Caenorhabditis elegans: one gene and its partner. The protein of the gene in region 2 purifies or fractionates together with the protein of the main gene of each other region. This does not show direct contact. Each region holds a gene or a part of one and is shown on either strand. Other genes may lie near its edges. The genes, in order: Y116A8C.33 and ctg-1.

What was found.
Region 1: the proteins of ctg-1 (region 2) and Y116A8C.33 fractionate together in Caenorhabditis elegans (co-fractionation; one large-scale study listed by BioGRID). This does not show direct contact.

What each region holds. Positions count from the first base shown.
Region 1 is NC_003282.8:17,110,163-17,116,247, reverse strand, and holds Y116A8C.33 (uncharacterized protein), read right to left. Parts: upstream 4,136-6,085; 5' UTR 4,068-4,135; coding exon 4,040-4,067; intron 3,992-4,039; coding exon 3,920-3,991; intron 3,168-3,919; coding exon 1,165-3,167; intron 867-1,164; coding exon 831-866; 3' UTR 782-830; downstream 1-781. Other genes in the region: cyn-13 (Peptidyl-prolyl cis-trans isomerase E), read left to right, coding at 199-622, 4,787-5,110; sfa-1 (Branchpoint-bridging protein), read left to right, coding at 5,266-5,422, 5,918-6,085.
Region 2 is NC_003279.8:7,003,793-7,009,969, forward strand, and holds ctg-1 (Protein ctg-1), read left to right. Parts: upstream 1-1,650; 5' UTR 1,651-1,927; coding exon 1,928-1,989; intron 1,990-3,037; coding exon 3,038-3,200; intron 3,201-3,455; coding exon 3,456-3,641; intron 3,642-3,922; coding exon 3,923-4,080; intron 4,081-4,123; coding exon 4,124-4,211; intron 4,212-4,451; coding exon 4,452-4,699; intron 4,700-4,981; coding exon 4,982-5,148; intron 5,149-5,194; coding exon 5,195-5,274; 3' UTR 5,275-5,408; downstream 5,409-6,177. Other genes in the region: chd-1 (Chromodomain-helicase-DNA-binding protein 1), read right to left, coding at 5,714-5,734, 5,784-6,177. UniProt on the Caenorhabditis elegans protein: Vesicle trafficking protein. Functions in uterine cells to promote basement membrane (BM) mobility and BM gap formation during tissue remodeling.

The DNA of each region.
Region 1 (6,085 bases), on a different chromosome or scaffold from region 2:
CCGAAATAACGCACGCGCATGTTATTTCGGAGCATCTTTTAAAATTAAGATTTAATTTTAATTTTGTTTTCAAAATTTTCCTAGTTTTCAGGTTTAATCTTTGTGATTTTTCATATTTTTTTAAAGATATTTTTACAAGTTTTTCAATAAAACCTGTGAAAAAAACATTTTTTATAATTTTAAAATTGCTATTTTCAGTGTCAACTTTGCTCGTCCACCAAAAGCCACCGAACGCTCACAGAAACCTGTCTGGGCAGACGACGAATGGCTCAAAAAGTATGGAAGAGGTGGAGAAGCTGCTGCGGAAGAAGACGGAGACGCTGAAAAAGCCGCCACGTCATCGTCGTCAGCCTCGACGAAGCTTCCACGTGTCTATCTGGGAGTGAAGATTGGAATTCGATATATTGGACGAATAGTGATCGAGTTAAGAACTGACGTTACACCGAAAACTGCCGAAAACTTCAGATGTTTGTGCACAGGAGAACGAGGATTCGGTTATGAAGGATCGATATTTCATCGGATTATTCCAAAATTTATGCTTCAAGGCGGTGACTTTACGAAAGGAGACGGAACCGGCGGGAAGTCGATCTATGGAACGAAATTTGATGATGAGAATTTCACGGTTAGGCACAAATTTTGATGAGCGGTATACTAGAAAAAATACTGTAAAAAATCGCATTTTCACAACGTTATTTGGTAATTATGCCAATAATTCGTGCTAAACATCAAATTTTCTGTAGAAAATGTGCCAAAATATGCGAAATTTTTGAAAAAATAACGAAACGAGATAAAAAATTTATTGATTTTTGGCAAAAAAAAAATCAATAGTTCTATTCAAATGCATCTCGTTTCAGAAGAAGAACGATCTGAAATTGTTCTCTATTTTATATCATGACACTACTACCAAAATTTATTTATCGATCCTTAAAATTTGCAAAAAATTTTGTTGCACAGAAAGTGGGACGGAGCTACGCAAAATTTTTCTCTTCTTTTCGAATTGGATAACATTTTCATTCGAAAAATCGAGAAAAATACAAGTAAAATTGAAATTATATTGCGGGGAAATACCTCATGCGGCAGTGTTGTGAAGCTACGCTCCGCCCCACTTTCTGTGCGACAAATTTTTTTGCAAAATTCAAGGATCGATAACCAAATTTACAGTACCTCTAGAAATTCCTGAAGAACTCCAAATTTGAATGGGGCCCATTGCAAAATTGTATTGTGCTTTGATAAAATAAAATCCAACGCTGCAATCTTCTCAAGAAAAGGGCTCGCCGGATCCATGGCTCTGAGGGCCTTTTCAATTGGGATAATATCAATGTCCGGAATTTCGGCTGTCAAGTTCTTGAGCGGATTAGTGTATCCTTTCAATGATTTAGCTCTCCACACATCAATTCTTGAAATATAAGCTTTTGCTTGACTTATTGCTGTCTCTAAGGAAGAAATATCTTCATGTCCCTTGACCTGACTAATCAGTGGCTCCAAGTCCACTAGACTATAGACACTTTGAACTACACTCTGAGATATGCCAATTTCATCGGTTTGATTCAACATCTGCGACATCTCATTCATTCTCAATGTCACCGGACTCGCAACTTCTCTCATTTTCTCTGGAATTGTTTTCACTGTAGAGAGTTCGTGTGAAAATTTGGATACCAATGGAGCAATCTGTTGAACATTTTGCAAATCTGCTCTCATAAACGCTTGAATCAATGGAACCATACGGATAACAGCTTCCGAGTTGTTTTTCAACTTTTTCAAGCAATTGTGAACTTCCAATTCGGAAGATATCTTGTCCTTGAATTCTTGGCTTTTCAGTTTTTCTTCAATAGCTTTACTCAAATTTTGAAAAATGAAAATCTCTTTATAGTCGATTGCTTTGATGCGGTCTCTGAGTTCATTTACTGTGATCAGGAATTTCGGGACACTTTTAGTTTCTAGAAAACGTTTCAGTGTTTCATTAACAAAACTTTGATTGTTTTTTAATAGTTGGAGAGAGTTAGAGTCCAGGAATTTGTTAAACTTTTTCTCAAATGTGAAACGATCGATAACATTATCCAGGTAATTCGAAAACAAGGTAACGTTACGCAAAAATTCGACATAAACTTTATCGGGAGACACAGCCGGATGCAAACGATAGCATGCTTCAAGCTTCTTCAGTACATCTGCAGAGTTTTCAATGTCAAGTGGAACTGATGAAAGTAGATTCTTCAAGTGTTCAAACCCATCAGAAATCAGAGAGTTTCCAGAGATAGCTGCCAACTCCTCATCAAACTTTTCAAGCATTTTATGGGCAATTTGTAGAGGCTTAAAGCTATCTGCCAGTTGGTTCAACAATGTTCTGTTAGCTCTCAGAATTCTTCCCAGCCAAGGATCTCCGAGCCGTTTAGAATCGACTCGTGGAAATTCTCTTTGTGCATCATTTTTGAGCTTTGTCACTCTTTGGACGTCTTCCTCAGAATCGTTTCTCTTCTTCGAAAGCTTGACCATTTGTAAGATGCTACTGCTCAAAATATCTCCTTTCTCATCTGTTTCTAACATATGAATCTCATTTCGATCATTCATCAACTTGAACATTTCTCGTAGTGGCTTAAACGTCGATTCTATTGATTTGTTCATTCCTTCAAGGTATTCAACATGTCGTACGCTCGAGACTTTGAGCATTATACTACCTAATTTTTCCAACAAAAATTGAGGACTCATTGTACGCTCGGTAATATTGAACGGCACATTCAAGCCCTCTTCAAGCCACTGCAGCATTTCGCCGATGTATTCAAGCATGTCGACTATGAAACGATGCCCATTGTCAGTGGAATCCTTGACATCTATAGCTAAGTCACGAAGAGTGTCAAAAAACTTATATTTTCCATGTAGTTCCAAAGTATTTCCATCAAATTTCAATTCATCAATGAACGTATTATACTTGATTAGTTGGCTCTCCACTTTCAATACTTCTTGCTCAGATCCCATTGATGTAGCCTTCAGATCATCAATCAATTTGAGAATATTTTCAGATTTGAAATTGGAAATATCAGAATTTCTATAGCTATTCAAAATTCCATCAATTGCAATAGTCTCATTCATTAATCCAGCTTGAAATTGAATTCCTTTTGGAAGTTGAGCAACTGTCGAGATACGGTCGATGTATTTTGATGGGAAGTACGGTGCTGAAATTTTTGAAATTTTTCAAGAATTTAATTTAGAAACGGTTGGAAACTGAAACACGGATATTTGTGGCTCAAAATCCACAGAGCTGATCTTTCCAGTTTTTATTGTACCAAAAAAAGAACCCAGAGGTGTTATACTCATTGTACAGTAGAGCGCCCTTTTATGGACGTAGCTTTTGCCGCCCCGTCACAGAGCGGTTTTTACTACGTGGCCGTAAAATAAGAAAACTCGGTGGCCTTCATAACATGGGTTCGGAACATTTTCTCAAAAATCGCCACGGTGGAACTATAATCCCAGATAAATCATTGGCCGAGTTTTGATTTTTCTAGGCCACGTAGTAAAAGCCGCTCTGTGCCGTGTTCAAAATGGTCACGTTTTGCAGAAAATTTTCTTATTTTTGTCATCAATTTTTTTTTTCACAAATTTTGAACAAATGTCATCAAATCGTACACCGTCACGCCAGTTTTGCTCAGTTTTGAGCCATTTTTCGTTTACTTCTTATTAATTGTATTCCGAAAAAAAAACAACTTTCTTATAAGAAATTGCCGAATCTCCGTTGTCTCCGAAAACTGTTGTCAAACTATACCCACGTTTTGCACAAAATTTGCTTATTTTTGTCATTCTTTCCCCGAAAAAATCCCACGTTTTTCTTTTCAACATTAGAAGAAAAAATTATAAAATTGTGTGCCGAGTACGTGCAGATTGCATCGAATTTCCCCCAACATATTCGCCAAAAAACCCGTATTTATACCTGGTGGAGAGAGCAATACATCCGGTACAAATGTGAAATTGGCGGGATGACTTGAAATTTGAATTGTTAGAGCTGAAAATATCAATAAAAAATCTGAAAATTACGAAATAAAAAACCCACCGATAAGGAAAACTACAAGAACTTTCATTTTGACGCCGATTGTGTTGAAAAATCGATGAGTTATCGGTTTTTTGAAGTTCAAATGTTCGAAATAAATGTTTTTAAATTGGGAAATTAACTTTTTTTTTTTTTTTTTAACTAGTTTTTTAAAAATTTTCACGTGCCCCAGAGTTTAAAAAAATTGGAATTCCTGTGTCAACTAACACTTAAATTGTAATTTTCTGAGTATTGGTGCAAACATAGGAAAAATTTCAAAATTGCAACTATTTTAAGCCAATTTTGACTCAAAAACTCTCCATCCAAAACCGCAGAAAAGTCAAAATTTTCCTTTTTTAATCTAAAATTTTTGCCATTCTTTATCCAGAGTCGAAAATTGTCCGTTTGAGACCGATTTTGCACTTAAAATTTCGGATTTGAATGCATTTTTATCAGTTTTTGCATTAAAAACCCATATTTTCCACCTAAAAACTCTTAAAATTCCGAAATTTTCCGTTTTTAACCAAAATTGCAACAATTACTAGCCAATTTTCACTCAAAAGCTCGAATTTTCCATCACAAACCGCTGAAAATTCGAGAATTTTCCTTTTTTATCCGATTTTTGATCTTAAATTCCAAATTGTTTTTCCATTCTCTTTCAAAAACCGCTCCAAATTTGAAAATTGTCTGTTTTAGACCGATTTTGCATCTAAAATTCCGTATTTTAAGCATTTTTTCACCTAAAAGCTCTAAAAATCTGAAAATTTCCAGCTCCGCCACACAATGCCCGGCACAGTTTCAATGGCGAACTGCGGTGCGAACACAAATGGCTCACAATTCTTCATTTGCACCGAGAAAACCGATTGGCTTGACGGAAAACACGTAGTGTTCGGTCATGTTGTTGAAGGAATGAATATTGTACGACAAGTCGAACAGCAAGGAACTCCGTCTGGCAAACCTCAGATGGTTGTGAAAATCGTGGAAAGCGGGGAAATTGAGCCGGAAAAACGGATTGCCGCCGAAAAATTGGCCCAGAAGGCAGTTGTTCCGGGAGCCGAGATTCAGGAGCCGCTTCCGCAGGCTATGGAGACTTAATTTATTGAATTTTAAAATTTATATGTTTTATTTTCAAAAAGAATTGTTTTAATTTATTTTCCTTTTTTTTTCCAATTTTCGTTCAGCGTCTCTCAAATCGCTATTATTTCTCTATTTTTCTTTGTATTTCCCTCTCAAAATCAACCACCCTACAGATGTCGAAAACTGGTGGAAACACGGAGCCAATGCCATTCATCCGGAAATGGGGCAACGAAGCTGGCGAAGATTTGGGAGCTGCCCCCAGTGCAACAGCAGCTCCACCACCAGCACTTGTTGTGCCAACAATTTCCTCCATGTCGTCTGGTGATAATAGTGAGTTTTTGTGTCGAAAATGGAAATTTTGTACATTTTTTGTATCGAAAAATAACAAAAAATCTATATTTTTTAAAATTTTTCGACGTTTTTTGAGTCTTGAAACTTGAAAATGCACTATTTTTGTTTTTTTAATCGAAAAATCAGAAAAAGTCGTATTTTTTTGAAAATTTCGGCAATTTTTCCCCATTCCATCGTTTTAGACAATTTTGAGTAAAAAACCTAGTAATCTATCATTTTTGTATTTTATGTCAAAAAAGGTGGAAAAATACAATATTCTTGTATTTTCGTCATTTTTTGAGTCGAAAAATTAGAAAAATTAATGGATTTTTCGATATAACAGCGAAAGTTTAAAAAAAGTCACATTTTCGCTATTTTTTGGCGATTTTGAAGGCTTTCTTTGTCGAAAAGTTGCAAAAAAAAATTGTAAAAAATGCAGAAAAACATGGAAAAAACTCAATAAAATTAAATACTCTGAATTTCCCCATATTTCAGAATCGCCATCTCGTTCGGAATCGGTGTCTGATCGAAAAAGGGACCGATCACGTTCTCGTGATCGTGACCGCAAGAAGGATCGAAAGAAGAAGGATCGTTCACGTGAACGAGATCGTGAACGCCGATCCTCTCGTTCCCGTTCTCGATCTCCTCGAGATAGAGATCGTG
Region 2 (6,177 bases):
TTTTTCTCCTTTTTTTTCGTTCCCATGCTGATATTCTCATACATACATTTTCTCCCGTGCATACAAAATATTCTGATGCTTACGCTCAGTAGTCGAAGTACTCCCATGCATACACCTCATTTATTCCATTTTTTCGTTCCCATGCTGACATTCCCCCACATACATTTTTTCCCGTGCATACAAAATTCCCATGCTTACATCCAGTAGTCGAACGTTCCCATGCTGACATTCCCATACAAACATTTGTTCCCATACTTACAAAAATGTATTCCCATGCCGACATGGAGCATTTTTGTGCTCCAGAAGAGAACAAAGTCAATTTTTTTACTCATTTTCATTGTATTAGGCTTACTTGACAGCTTTCAGTTACAACTGATCACTTTTTTTTTCAAAATGCATTAGTTCTCGATTATGAACAAGGAATCGAAGAAAAATGGGGATGACTGCCTATAGAGTAAAATTTTTTTTTTGCTCAAAAATTTTTTTTCTCTCTATTTTGTAGGATATCATTAATTCGGTGAATTCCACAACTTTGAATGTTCATATTGCTGTTTCCGTGCAGTTATGAGTTTCGCAGTGTCTTAGGAACATTCCATTTTTTGTTGCATTTTGTAGGAATTCGGAGCTATCTTATAATTTCTACAAATTAGTATATCCATTTCGCATTATTTCATGTATCTTAAACCTATTGCTTCAAAAATAGCACAGAACGAATGTTGATTCTGTTTCTTTCATTAAAAAATGTGCTACTGTGCATTTTTTCCCACTTCTACGACTTTAAAGGCGCGCGATTTATACAAAATGGTCCCGTCATTGGTCTCGCCAGCGCTCAACAAATCAATGGGATGCGCGTGGCGAGATTATTGCGCGAAAATTCGCGCGCCTTTAAAGTCGTAGAAGTGGGAAAAAAAAATGCACAGTAGCACATTTTTTAATGAAAGAAACAGAATCAACATTCGTTCTGTGCTATTTTTGAAGCAATAGGTTTGAGATACATGAAATAATGCAAAATGGACTTTCTAATTTGTAGAAATTATAAGATAGCTCCGAATTCCTACAAAATGCAACAAAAAATGGAATGTTCCTAAGACACTGCGAAACTCATAACTGCACGGAAACAGCAATATGAACATTCAAAGTTGTGGAATTCACCGAATTAATGATATCCTACAAAATAGAGAGAAAAAAAAATGTTAAAATATGGGAATGTCAGCATGGGAACGTTCGACTACTGGATGTAAGCATGGGAATTTTGTATGCACCGGAAAAAATGTATGTATGAGAATGTCAGCATGGGAACGGAAAAAAGGGAAAACATGAGTTGTAGGCATGGGAGTACTCGAACTACTGGGCGTAAGCATGGGAATATTTTGTATGCACGGGAGAAAATGTCAGCATGGGAAATGTGTGCATGGGAAATGTGAGCATGGGATAGATTGCCTGTGCCAAACGCACAAAACGCTTTTTTTCTCATTCAACACACGTCGGTTTTTTAAATAAGTGTTACAACGACACTCAACATTAATTTTCCTGACAGATTGGCCGATTATATTTGAATACTTTGTCAAGTTAGGTGTTATTTCCAAGACCTGATATTCATTCCAAAAATCACAAAAACCATGTGATGACACCTGCAATTCTTTTCCTTAGGCTGTTTCTCGTTCCTCACCAACGATTGAAATCTACAAGAGGCCTTCGGAAGAGACGAAGGCGGTGACCGGCGCTGCTGCTGGACGAGACACGGGGGCCGATGCGACAGATTTGCGGAGATATTACACAACATAGACAATACTACAGTAACTGAGAAATAGTATAAGATTGAGTGTAGAGTGGACAGACATTCCGCCTATTCCTTCTTCTTTTCTTCTTTTTCAATCCCATCTCGTCTTTTCTTCCATCTCGTCCAATTCATTCATTGCATCGAGTAATGTTGGTGTCGCCGACTGCCGCTGCAACGTCCATCGAACAGCAAACTATTCGAGATCTCAGGTATACAGGTCTTGACACGTTTTATATTGATTTACACGTTTACAATTTTATTCCGATTAGGAATTTTTTACATCTTTATAAAGAAACCGTAATTTTTTTTCGAAAATTAAAAAAAACTACTTGTTTTTGAAAATTTTCACTGAATACCTTCTTTGAATAGATTTTGAGTTACAGATACGTAGTAACTGTTAGAACTTTAGAATAAAATATATTCAATCTTACAATAGTTTTCAACCAAATTCACAAAGTTGGGTAAGATTGTGATCTTCCATGTAGTAATCACCGTATAAACATCTTTTTATTTTTCTGTAATATCCGTTCAACTTTCGCGTACTTTCTACTTTGAACTTTTATATTCAAATTGTTTCAAAACATATTAAATTCCAATCTCAGAAGATTTTTCATTGTCACATACAATAAATAAGTTGTCCATTCTTCCCACAAGAATTGTGAACGACCTTGTTAAAATAATTATACGATGGTGAATCCCCCGCCTTAGTTTTGGATGAGATCATAGAATATCCCGGAAAAGTTGTCTTCAAATGTTTTATACTCACAAATTGTTCCCAAACAATGTAATTTTTTTTCATAAACACTCTAAAAAATTATCAGTCAACGTTTTGTAAAATTGCCAAATTTTCGTTGAAAATGAGTACTTTTAAAGAATTTTTGAGCAATTCGCTTGTTTCAATTGCTTATAATATTTGAAGACAAATACTGGGAGCACATTTGAAATATAAAAAACGTTTAAAAAATTGAAAAAAAGTTTTTTTGATTTGCTTCCAAAATTATGATAGATGAAGACTGGGTAATTGCTACGTTTTGATTATAAAGACAAAAATTTCAAAAAAAAAGAACTTGAAAAATTTTGCTATGATATTTGGTCATTTTCGCACCATAGAAAAATTTCTAAACATTTTCCCCACGGATGCTACTCTAAATTTGATAGCTTTAGTCATGCAGTATAGACTCAGAAAGCTACTGAATTTATGAACAATTAAAAATTACATTACTCACAAAAATTGGAAAGAAAATGTTCAATATTTAGATCAATAGTTCCACAAATAGACAATTTAAACGATGGTTATGTGCTCCGCTGGCTCCGTGCAAAAGAAGGACGATTTGATGAAACTGCTGAAAGCTTAAAGAAGCATGTGACATTCCGTAATGCTTGGCATCTTGATAAAATTGAACAATGGACTCCTCCAGAAGTAAGTGATGATGAATTTAATGAATCATTATAGATCATACATCACTTTTATATAGCTTCAACGATTTTATCATTCATAAGATAAAGATCCAAAAATTACAACGTTGAAAAATAAAATTTGTCAGATATTTTATAATTCAATTTTGAAAAGAAAGGGGCAAAGTTGATCAAAATCATAGAAGCTAAGGAGAAAAATGTATGAAAACATTGAAGTTTTGATTGGAAAGCTGCTGATTGAATATAAATTTAATTTCAGTGTCTAGAAAAATATTGTGGTTATGGATTGCTGGGAGACACAGAAGGACGTCCAATCCTTATGTCACTGTTGGGAAATGTGGATGTTGAAGGACTTTTGAGATCAGTTGCTTCATTGGATTATATCAAATTCTCATTGGCTGCAATTGAAAAAGGAATGAAACTTTGTGAAGAAAAAGCAAAAGAGGTGTGTTCTTTCAATGTTTGAGAAGTGTATTGATTATAAGTTAAATTATTTTCTGGCTGAAAATGAGTCCCTTTTTTTTACGATTTTTATTTTCTCAGTATGATTTCACTACTTTTATCTAAACATTGTTGGTGTTCGATTATTTGGCAGTGCTCTAAATTTCTGAAAATTTGGAAGTTACCTGAAATTTTAGAAAAATTTGAAATAGTTAGGGTGTTTTTTTAACAATATGTTTTCATTTGGAAACAAATGCATTGACCTACAAAAACAAAATATTGCAGTCCGGCCGTCCATTCGAACAAATGACATTAGTCTTTGATTTGGAAAATATCACATCTGCTCATTTTTCATGCAAACAGTTTGCTTCATCATTTACAACTCTTGTCAGTCTTTTCCAAGATCATTACCCATTGTTTCTTCGGAAGATTCTTATTATCAGGTTAGTAATAATTACGTCTTTGTTATAAATGAATACATTTCAGAGCACCAGAAATGGCTAGAATTGCGTACGCTTCTATTACGGCAATTCTTCAAGATCCGATCACTCGCCTCGTGGAAATGCCTTCCGAGGTAAGATTTTTTATTTTTGAAAAAATTCCAACAAAAAATTTTGAAGTGTATATTTTCATTATGTTTTCTAAGATTATCTATGATTTTTGTCCAAGGACTTATTTGGTTTCCTAATACAAATATTACAACTGAATAAGACTAGATCAATTCTTCGATAAAATCGTTAGAACTTTTTTAATAAGGAAAATCAAAGATCGTATTAAACGTTGAATTGAACTTTAATCAATAAATATTTTTCAGTCTGATTGGAAATGGTCTCTTGCTCAAATCGTAAACCTCGATGCATGGCCAATGTATTGGGGAGGTAATCTCGTCGAAAACGGTGACCCAAAATGTCCGTCACGTATCAAATACGGAGGTGGCGCTGTCGATGAAAGCTATTTCGTGGATCCAAAAAAGGCGATGGCTGACTACGATCAATTGACTACAGTTTACGCAGGAGATAAACATTTAATTCAGATCAAAGTGAAACGTCCAAGCCGGATAAGGTTTGTAATGGGTTTTTGTGGTGGATCAAATATTTGCAAATTTTCAACATGTATCTTAAAAGCATATTCTTGAAAAATTGCCAAATTTAAACTTTAAACAATTAGGTTGTTTTAAAATTCAATGCTCAACATTTTTGAACGCCTTATTAAAACGTATTTAAATCAGATCATGTATTATAATTTTTTGCGGTCATCTGCCAAAATTATGACTGTAATAAATAAATAAATTTCGAGTTTTACTAGAATATTCGGTGATAAATTTTGTAATAAAATATTTTCCAGCTGGACCTATATGACTGATGAAGATGACATTGGGTTTGAAATTCATTATGATAAAACAGGATCATGTGATAAGTTAACTGAAATGGAAACTGTTTATCCATATATTCGTCTCGAATGTACAAATGTTCCAATCACAGGACATCTCGATGTGACTGATGTTGGAAACTGTTCGTTTCTTCTTTTTTTTATATTTTCAACTTTTCAAGCGTTCAGATGTTCTCGAATTCGACAACTACTATTCGTGGTTCTCTGCCAAGCAATTGCGCTACAATATTGAAATCGAAGATTTGTAAATTCTAATGTTAATCGGAGGATAACGCTGATAATAATAATGTATAATTATTTACAATTTTCAAAACTAATGATTATATTAATTTTATATAAAGATCACGCTTTGTAGCTAATAAGACTATTAAACAGATCATTATTAAAGGAAACAAAAAAAGATGAAATGTGATAAACATTTGAAATAAAAACAAAAAAAAGTAAACCCGACCAAAGAAAACAGGAAAAGAAATCGAGCTAGATGGATAAGGAATGGCAAATAAACGGACAAAATTAGGATTATATCATTTAGAAATGAATAAGAATTTCTATTTATCAACAACGAATTTGAAAACTAAAAATTGACATGTTTTGGGGAAAGAGAAACGGGATGATGGAAATTATATCGCAGTTTACGAAGAACCCGTGAGTGTAGTGTGTGCAGGTAGACGAAAAGATGGAGTTAGACTAATGTCGGCGGTTTTTCTCCTGAAAATATTAAACATCAAAAAAATGTTGTTGTTTTCTTAATGAATACCTTATGTTGCTCCCGATGGTGATGATCCTTGTGATGATCTTTATGATGTTCCCGATGATGGTCCTTACTAGTTCCTTCACCATGATCCATCCGCCTTTCTCCACGATTCCTTTCTCTGTCCTTCTCTCGATCCCTTTCCTTGTGATCTTTGGCTTCTTTCGGCTTCTCCTCCTTACTCTTATGATGGTGATGGTGATGGTGATTTTTGTGTTTATCAGAAGTTATACTTCTATATCGGTCAGCCATTTCTCCAGGTTCTCTCAGAGTGAACTTGCAAAGAAATATCCACAAATAGTTATACCATTTTCGAATATTTGTTTTTGGCTTCTTTTTTATAAGAGTTTCGAGGTTTTCAAGGAACGAGTCGCCGAGTCGGGTAAGATATTTGGCCTCG